2 linked regions of the Drosophila melanogaster genome follow. The protein of the gene in region 1 interacts with the protein of each later gene in a pairwise test. Each region holds a gene or a part of one and is shown on either strand. Other genes may lie near its edges.

What was found.
Region 2: the proteins of E(spl)m5-HLH (region 1) and tap interact in a two-hybrid assay, tested with the Drosophila melanogaster proteins (one large-scale study listed by BioGRID).

Annotation. Positions count from the first base shown.
Region 1 is NT_033777.3:26,028,028-26,031,408, forward strand, and holds E(spl)m5-HLH (enhancer of split m5, helix-loop-helix), read right to left. Parts: upstream 1,709-3,381; 5' UTR 1,626-1,708; coding exon 1,089-1,625; 3' UTR 827-1,088; downstream 1-826. UniProt on the Drosophila melanogaster protein: Participates in the control of cell fate choice by uncommitted neuroectodermal cells in the embryo. Transcriptional repressor. Binds DNA on N-box motifs: 5'-CACNAG-3'.
Region 2 is NT_037436.4:17,357,645-17,362,528, reverse strand, and holds tap (target of poxn), read right to left. Parts: upstream 2,848-4,884; 5' UTR 2,737-2,847; coding exon 1,540-2,736; 3' UTR 718-1,539; downstream 1-717. UniProt on the Drosophila melanogaster protein: May play a role in the specification of the sugar-sensitive adult gustatory neuron and affect the response to sugar and salt. Regulated by POXN.

The sequences.
Region 1 (3,381 bases):
CCGTTCCTCGATCCCCGCCCATCACTCAGCACGCACGTGCAGGGCACAAAAGCGGTCGTAATTGACGGTTTAACTCGATGGGCCCGGAACCTCCCCTGGCTGACAAACACGAGAGAAAAAAGTCCCAAAACGATATGTGAGCCCTGTCCAGGGGCTCGAGGGGTATGCAGATTCGACAACACTTTGCAACACGTGCAACACCACAGTGTTAAGCTGTTGATCGAGGCGTAGACAGGTCTGTGTCTTTTTTTGTCTCCGGTCCTCGGGGGCGTCGCTTGGCTAGGGGTTTGACTGGGTTTATGGCCAGAGGACCTCCTACTTGGACCCGGGGGAGTTCAACTCTTCGTCGAGGAGGTCGCAGCTGGGTTGTCAAGCACGGATCTTGTTTAGATCGATCATCAGGCGGGGGAGGTACTGCTTAATGTGTGTCTTTTACACAAAAACTGTGGAATTATTCTAATGAATTGCTCAACAAGGGTAATTATTTTTCAAAGAAGCAGAACAATATTCTTGACAATCTTATATCTACACAGAGAGGGATTACTTTCACTTGACATTGTCTCTTCAGAATTACAATTACTTGAATGTTCTGCAAAGTTTATTTTACTAATCTAAAATCTAAGCAAAATCTACAACACTCGTCTTGATCATCCATGATCATGATGATATTTTTGGATTTGATTCAATATTTTCTCCTTGTTTAAGATTTGTAACAAATAAATCATATTAGATTAATGAGATATCTGCAAGCCGAAAATCACAAAGCCAATTAGAATTTTGGCCTATGATTTTTGTTAATTTAAGTAAATAAATAGACCAAAGTATTAAGGTTTTTGTGTGTTTTGTATTTTATAACTATTAAAGCTGTTGTGTTGTTCTCTTAAAATAAATTCCTTAATAAACTAATAAAGCTTGAGGTGTGCTTATGATCTAGGTAAAGCTGTTATCACATTGTTAACGATTCAATTGGAAGACATGATTCGTTGCAGCAGAAGTTGCTGGTGGAAGACAGGATTCAATGTCGATGCTGAAGAAGATTCTTCAGCTGGAAGACTGGATTCGATGTCGATGATGATGGTGATGGTGATTTACCAAGGGCGCCACATGGTTTCTTCGACTGGCTTGGGGCTGGCGGCGGATTGAGAGTCCTCGTTATCGCTGTGGTATCCCGAGGAGGCGGGGCTGAGTGGGCGTGGGGTGGAGGTTGTAACAGAAGTCTGGACCTGATCGGCCTGCAGCATGCGCTGGAACTCGACGCCCAGATGGGTCATCACTGTCTTGCCCACATCCACACTCATGGCTGGAGTGCAGGCCATCACACGGGAGATCTCGCTGACGGCGTTCATGTAGCCATTCTTGAAGCTATCCATGGGAAGTGGGGAGACCGGCGCCTGCTGCTTGACGACCTGTTTGCGCATGAAGACGAGTGCCGCCTCCAGCATCTCGGCCTTGTCCATTCGCAGGATGGCATCATCGCCCTGGAACTCGGCCACCAAGGTCTTCAAGGTGTCCAAACACTTGTTCATGCGGGCCCGACGCTGGCGCTCCAAAAGGGGCTTCTTCACCTTCAAATAGTGCTGGGTCTTGGAGACGAATGTGGTGCTGTTGTTGCTCTGTGGTGCCATTTTGTAATGTGTTTTTTGTTTTGGAAGATTTGTAGAAATGTGCTGAGCTGATCTGAACTGCTTGCAGGATGCTGCTCGAATGATGCTGGATTCCTCGACTGCACCGGCTTTTATACCCGCAGCAGCCGCAGCAGCAGCAGTGTGGAGAAGGTCCTTGCTGGAGGACCTGCTACCTGCGAACACCGTAAAGATCTCGAAATCTTATTGCTATGCTGTGCGTGCGTGGGAAAGGAAACCAAGGAAATCGTTGTGCAAAGACTGAGTTTTCAGGCTGCTTTTCTTGGCTCCCTTTGTGTGTTTTATTCCTTTCAATTGTCTAGCCAAGGAGTGTGGGTCCTGGCGACGCATTGTAACTGCAATTAAACCGTAAAATGCTGGCCAAGACGTGGGAACGTGGTGCTCAGAATTGGGCCCAATTGTCTGCGACAAACTGATTCGGTTTGGGCCAGCAAATGAAAATCAAACTCGGTAAAATTGTAATTGTCTTGTTGTGGCTTACTGATCTTTGGATCGCTGAAAGGAAAGAAGGAGGATCGTTTAGATCCTTTAGCCAGTTTCAAAACTAAATATGGGATGTTAGAGGTTGATGTAATCATGGATAGCAAACACTTATACCTCAATAAGGAATCAAATAGGTGGATACAAAGTACATAAAATTTTAGGGATTCGTCATCTGCTCATGCAAGTAATTATAAAATCCAATTCATTACAAACAAGCACTTAGATATATGTCCTAGTCATGGTTTTTTAGGGTCCCTTCACCATCATCGCTGCCCCATAAATCCTGACCCAATGCTCGCCCGATCCCCATGCACACTTTACTGACAACCCTTAACGCTAACCCCAATCCCCATCCCAGATCCAATTCGAATCCCGAGAAAGTGGCTGTCACCGTTGTTAGGGTCTTGAGGGGTCTTTCCGTTTGTTTTGCTCGATTTTCATATCGTGAGAACCGCTCGAGACGCGTCGTGTGTTTCCCACGCGATGTGCACACCTGCCATTTAAGACGCTTATATGGTTACGATTACAGGCACGGATACACGGAAAGCCAGCGAGACACAGATACTCCACACAGACAACCACTTGGCCGTAAATATACAGAAGCAACAACCAGATGAGGGCACACATTTATCTGTCGGCACACATTTATTGCGCCGGCGCGACGCTTATTATCAGCCCAAGTAGCAATCGTCGTGTGAGTGACTGATGCACTGACGGATTGACTAAACTGCTCGACTGAATGACTGAATGACTGCCGGACGGACTGACTGACTGACTGACTGGCGAACTGAGAAACCGACTGATTACTGCCTGCTTTACTTTAGTTTTTCACTCTTGTCGCCGTCATTGACGATTGTTTAATTTAAATTGCCGGCTACCAGTCGGCGGGCTTAATGATTATGGCCGGGCCCAGAGCCAGAGCCAGAGTTGCCATCCAAGTTCCGTGGAACTTGTACGCAATAGTTATTTGTACTTTACGACATGGGCTAATTGAACGAACGCACCCGCAGAAGAAGTTTAACGAGCCGTCTGTCATTGATTGAAGTGGTGAATGGGAGTTGCGGGGACGTGGGGATTTGGCCTGTCAATGGGCAATCAAATCATTAACGTATCCAAGGTGAGTGAGAATCCCCAGTAGCAGTGACCAGCTAACTGACAGCCACTGGATGGATTTCAATGATCCCATCGCCTGACTTACGTCGTCCGTTCGTGGACCAATCCTTTGAGGGATTTATGTATGCCGGACCACCAGTTT
Region 2 (4,884 bases), on another chromosome or scaffold:
TATTCAATTTACGTTGCATTAGGCAAACCTACGCCTTTTTTTAAAACTTTAAAACCTTTGAATGTAAGGCTTTGCAGTATGACAGCTCTATTAACGGATAAGACTGTCTTATTGTAATCTTCAGTTGAGATTGCGAATTCCTCACCGGCTTTCCAGCATCTTTACCACCTTTTTACCCTTTTCTCGTAACGGAAAACGTCAGTCAGTCAGTTGTTACCCAGTTAGGCAGTAAAGCAGTAAAGCATTTCCCTCGACTCTTGCCGGTTCGGTTCATTCAACTAAATAATTTGAGTGGCATTCATGCAGGTCCACTGGCTCACAGCTCATGTTTCAGGATTCCCTGTTTGGTCCTGACTGCTGCTGTTGGTACATTCGTTTTGTAATTGTGTGGCAGGTGACGGCAATCTTCCATTGTTCGAGCTATGAAGGCCGAGCCGGGAGTTCGAGTTCGGTTTCTACTTGAACTCACCCCATGTCGAATTGTAAGGGCGAAAAGTGCCCCCTACGATAAGAACAAGCTGCAGTGCACACACACAAAGCCATTCGTTTTATGTGCCCTGCAATATACAATATTTATTTGAATTTAAGTCCTTTGTTTGGGACCTGAAATCCGCACACAGCGGTACACTGATTCCAGGGTTGTTTGCTTTGGCTACTATTTTTGACTTTGTCCAGGAGTTCGTCCATTCTTCCCACTCGCAAAACCATTTTCTGGCTCGTTTTGATCGTCAACTTTATTTGCAAAAATAAATCTTTATGGTTTTACATCGAAATTCAATCTTATCACCTTAAAGTTCTGGCCCTGACTAGCTCGCTTTCCTTGCATTGCAATAACTGATATAGAATCTGGCATAACCTACATACACTTAATCGATTGTACAGTTAATTATGGCTAATACCTGGTTCATTTTAAGAATCCTTATAGATAGGTCTTAAATCTAGAATGGCAAGGTACGTATCGCTTACACTAAATGGACAACCGATTTGTACTATATAGTCAAGAAGAATGCGAATATGTTGAGAAGAAGAGTGCTTTTTGGAAAATTGATTACCCTAAGCACTTTTAATTCAAATATTCACCAGAGATCCGCAAGAAGGAAGCCAATGAATACAAATATAATGGGAATTCATATGAATTAATAATGAGTTCGTGAAGCTTAACTTTGGATGTTTGACTTTAAATTGGTTAATCTATTGAGGATCCCTCTATAACATGAAACTAATTGAGTTCAAAGATTAGCGCAAGTGTGAAATATACAATTTTTAAAGATATTTCATTTTCAAACTTGATGATAATCTTAGCAGTCAATTAGGTGCCTCGCTTATTACCAATATCAACGGATTGCAGGAAAGTTGAGAAAAGTAAGGAAGGGAAATCCCGAGATAGGACCCATAAGTTACTTTAGTTATGTTTTTAAAGTAAGTCAAGGGCAAATCGCTTAGAGGAATTCCCCTTGATCAGTTTCCTGCAATTTCCGGCAATCTTTTAGTATATCACGCTGAAAACCCTAAGATCGTAGTTTGGCCCACAAAACTGTGCTACACCTGCGGGGCGAAGTTTTTGTAGCTGTGTTGATGTGGAACGGGATGCACGTGTGCCTGATCCTCCGGATAGTCCTTCCATGGCGGTGTTTGCGAGTAGAAGCTGCTCTGCTGGTGAATCCCAGAATCCAAGTTCGTAGAATGAAGATTGGCAGCTGCATCGAAGGATCCCCTGAACAGATCGTATTTCTCCTGCGAGAACTGCTGCGGGCTGGACTCCTGCTGGGGATTAGGCTGCAGATGGTGAGGCTGATGCGGCTGCTGTTGCTGTTGGTGGTAAAACCGCATGCTGCCTGTAAAGTCGAATCCTGGTGGCTGCTGCGGATAGTCCATGCCGTGCTGAAAGCCACCCATCGCCGGCGGCTGCTCCGCGTGCGATGCTGGAGCAGTCTGGTGCTGTGCAAGAGGCGCCATTCCCTGTCCATAGGGGAACATTCGTCCGAACAAGGGATACGGCTGTGGATTCACGAAAAGAGCATCGAAGAGCTCCTTGGTAATCCTCTCACCACTCAGCGTGAAGTTCTGCAGCTTCTCCAGATCCAGGTTGATTGAACCTCCGCTTTCCAGCACCTGCTCCAGGGCAAAGATGTAGTTGTGCGCAAATCGCAGAATCTCGATCTTCGTCAGCTTCGTCTCCTCGGGAAGCGAGGGCAGAGTGACGCGTAGTTTCTCCAGGGCATCATTCAAGTTATGCATCCGATTCCGCTCCCGGTCATTGGCCTTCATGCGGCGGAAACGCTTGATCTTCACCACTTGGGTTGGACTGCGCGAGCGAGTTACTCTGTTCTTGCCGACGGCATATTTGCGTTTCGGTCGCGGCGCATTGGGATCCTCTGGCGACTTCACCGGCGTACTGGTCAATGGCGGATCGAAGACGCCATTCGTGGCCCGACTGTTCAGATGTTCGACCAGTGTCCTGCCGCTCCGAGTGCTGTGATTGCTGCTCGTATCGAGCAATCCCACGAAGCCCGCCGGCGGTGAGCTGAGCGGTACGGCGTCCCAGGTGCCGCCGGAGTACGGTTGCGGGATCGCCGGAGTCGGCGGAGTGCCAAAGTCCAAGCGGCGTCGTGAGCTCAACTGGGCCTCCGTCTCGAAACTCTTCTCGTAGCCACTGTCGAAGGAGGCGTCGTCGTCGTCCTCGTCGAACTCGAAGGACTGTGATCCAGCGCTATAGGCATTGTAGCAGGCGGCCATGATCTCGTATCTGTATCACGGTGTGTATATCCTTTAGCACATTTCCGATTTACGATTTCCGCTTTGAGAGAGTTGTTTCTTCGCGTCTCGCGTGCCCGCACCAACTAAAAGCTGGCGAGGAGTGCGCACCGGTTTTATGTGCCCGGCCAGCCATTAAGCCCGCTGATTTGGGTCCGGACTAACAGGCATCAACCCTCGGCGCATTGTCGTCGGTCGTGGCGGCGCCATAGCGCAAAGTAGAGAGCACAGAACCCCGACACAAATCCCAACAGATATGCGCCGTGATTGCCGCCCGGGGGTGGCTTTTGCCAACTCACACACCAACGTCGTCTAGCTAGAACTGCCTGCAGCGGGGTGAACTTCCTGGAGATGGAGATTCGTTCTGCGGGCCGCCGCTACCAGTCAAAATACGAGCATTTTTCACGCTTCGCTGCGAGCGGTGCTCTCTAGGCCAATCGGAAGGATGTCTGCGTCCGAGGATCAGCGGTGTCGCCAACGGCATCATCAAAGCTCGTCTCTATAGTCATACCCTTCCTCTAGGGTTATTTAAATACAATGTGCTTACTGCACAGCTTAAACTTAATTATATTTATATTAATGAATGAGTAGTATTGTTGGTCAATTTAAGATATGCTTTATATTATAGTTAAATTAAAAGAAGAAATATTATATTATTATATATTTTGTAAAAATCACTTAGTTTAAGGATAAATCCAAAAATTATTTGAAATAGGGAATACTTTTGTTTAATATGATATCTTCGGATCATTACGACTTTGTTATATTTTCGGTGTAGGTATAATTTTCGGACGAGATTTAATCCATTTCCGTACTAAAAGATTTCTTACCCTTTCCTACATATATAGAGTATGTGTGCTTCGTGGACTAAATAAATTGTTATTTTGTTTTATCGCCACATCGAAATAATGCGATTGCAATTCAAAAGATTCAATTACCATCAACTCTTTCGCCTTTCGCAACTAAACCGCAATAATCGTTTAGGGCTTACGCCTGTCGCTAAACGGGTTAGTGGCACGTGGCCAGGATGCCGCCTCCACTTACCAAAAGCAACATGTGTATTCAACGGAAAGCTCTCACTCCCACAGGACTCCATCCTCCTGGTAGAAAACCCAGGCGTTGCCACGTGCCGCGGTCTTAACGGCTGCTCAAGTGGCAAAGTGTGCCGATGTGGGATTCCTATCTGTGGCAATCCTGTTAAAGGAGGATCGGAGTTGCAATTTCAAGTGGGCGACGGGTGCCACGTGCGGATTTGTTATGATATGCGGCAATTGCCGCAAATTACCAGCACGAGTGAGAACTTGAGTGTCGAGGGGGCTAATTTAGTAATATGCCACATTTCAGGCAGTTCCTCCTAATGGAAATGAATTGAGTGCTTTTGTTGAAAAAATATAAACCTTGCTTCAGTAATTGTGACACCATCAATTTTTTCTTTAATAGTGCTTTATAAGGTAGCTAAGTATGTTATGAAAAATGTACTAAGTAGAGCTGATGTTTGATTAATTTCCTTATAGATTTCAAAACCAAGATAGTTTTATATAAATAAACAAATACTTAATGGTATACTTATTTATTTATTTTTTAATCAGTTTTCTTGTATGATCAGTACAATGAGTGTTTTCGTAACTTATAAAATATATTTATATATATATAAATATATTTATATATATAAATATATATAAATATATTTATATTGAAGTTTTAAACAGAATATTAATGGTAGTTTGTATCAATATCTTTATAAGAGCTAAGTACTACTAACAATGTTTCTTACATGAGAAGAAAATCTATCCCATATATGCCACTTAAATTCACACCAGCAGCCACGTGTCGCCGTCGTCGTCATCCATGTTACAAAGCTTCTCCGCCGCGTGTAGCTAATTTGGTTTTTTAGAGCCACAATGCACATCAATTAGGCAGTTAATTGAAGTGCGGATGCGTTTGCTTTTTCCATTGAGTGTTGTCCTGGACTCGATGAGAGTCCTTTTTTAAAGGCCCTCGGGCGGCGTTACAGTCCAAATAAAAACCGAAATACAATGCCGGAGCCGGAAACTTGGTCAAACAGATGTACACGTAAATAATTTCATCAAAATCCTGGCGTTTTGGTAGCCAAAGCAAATACCAAGTGTG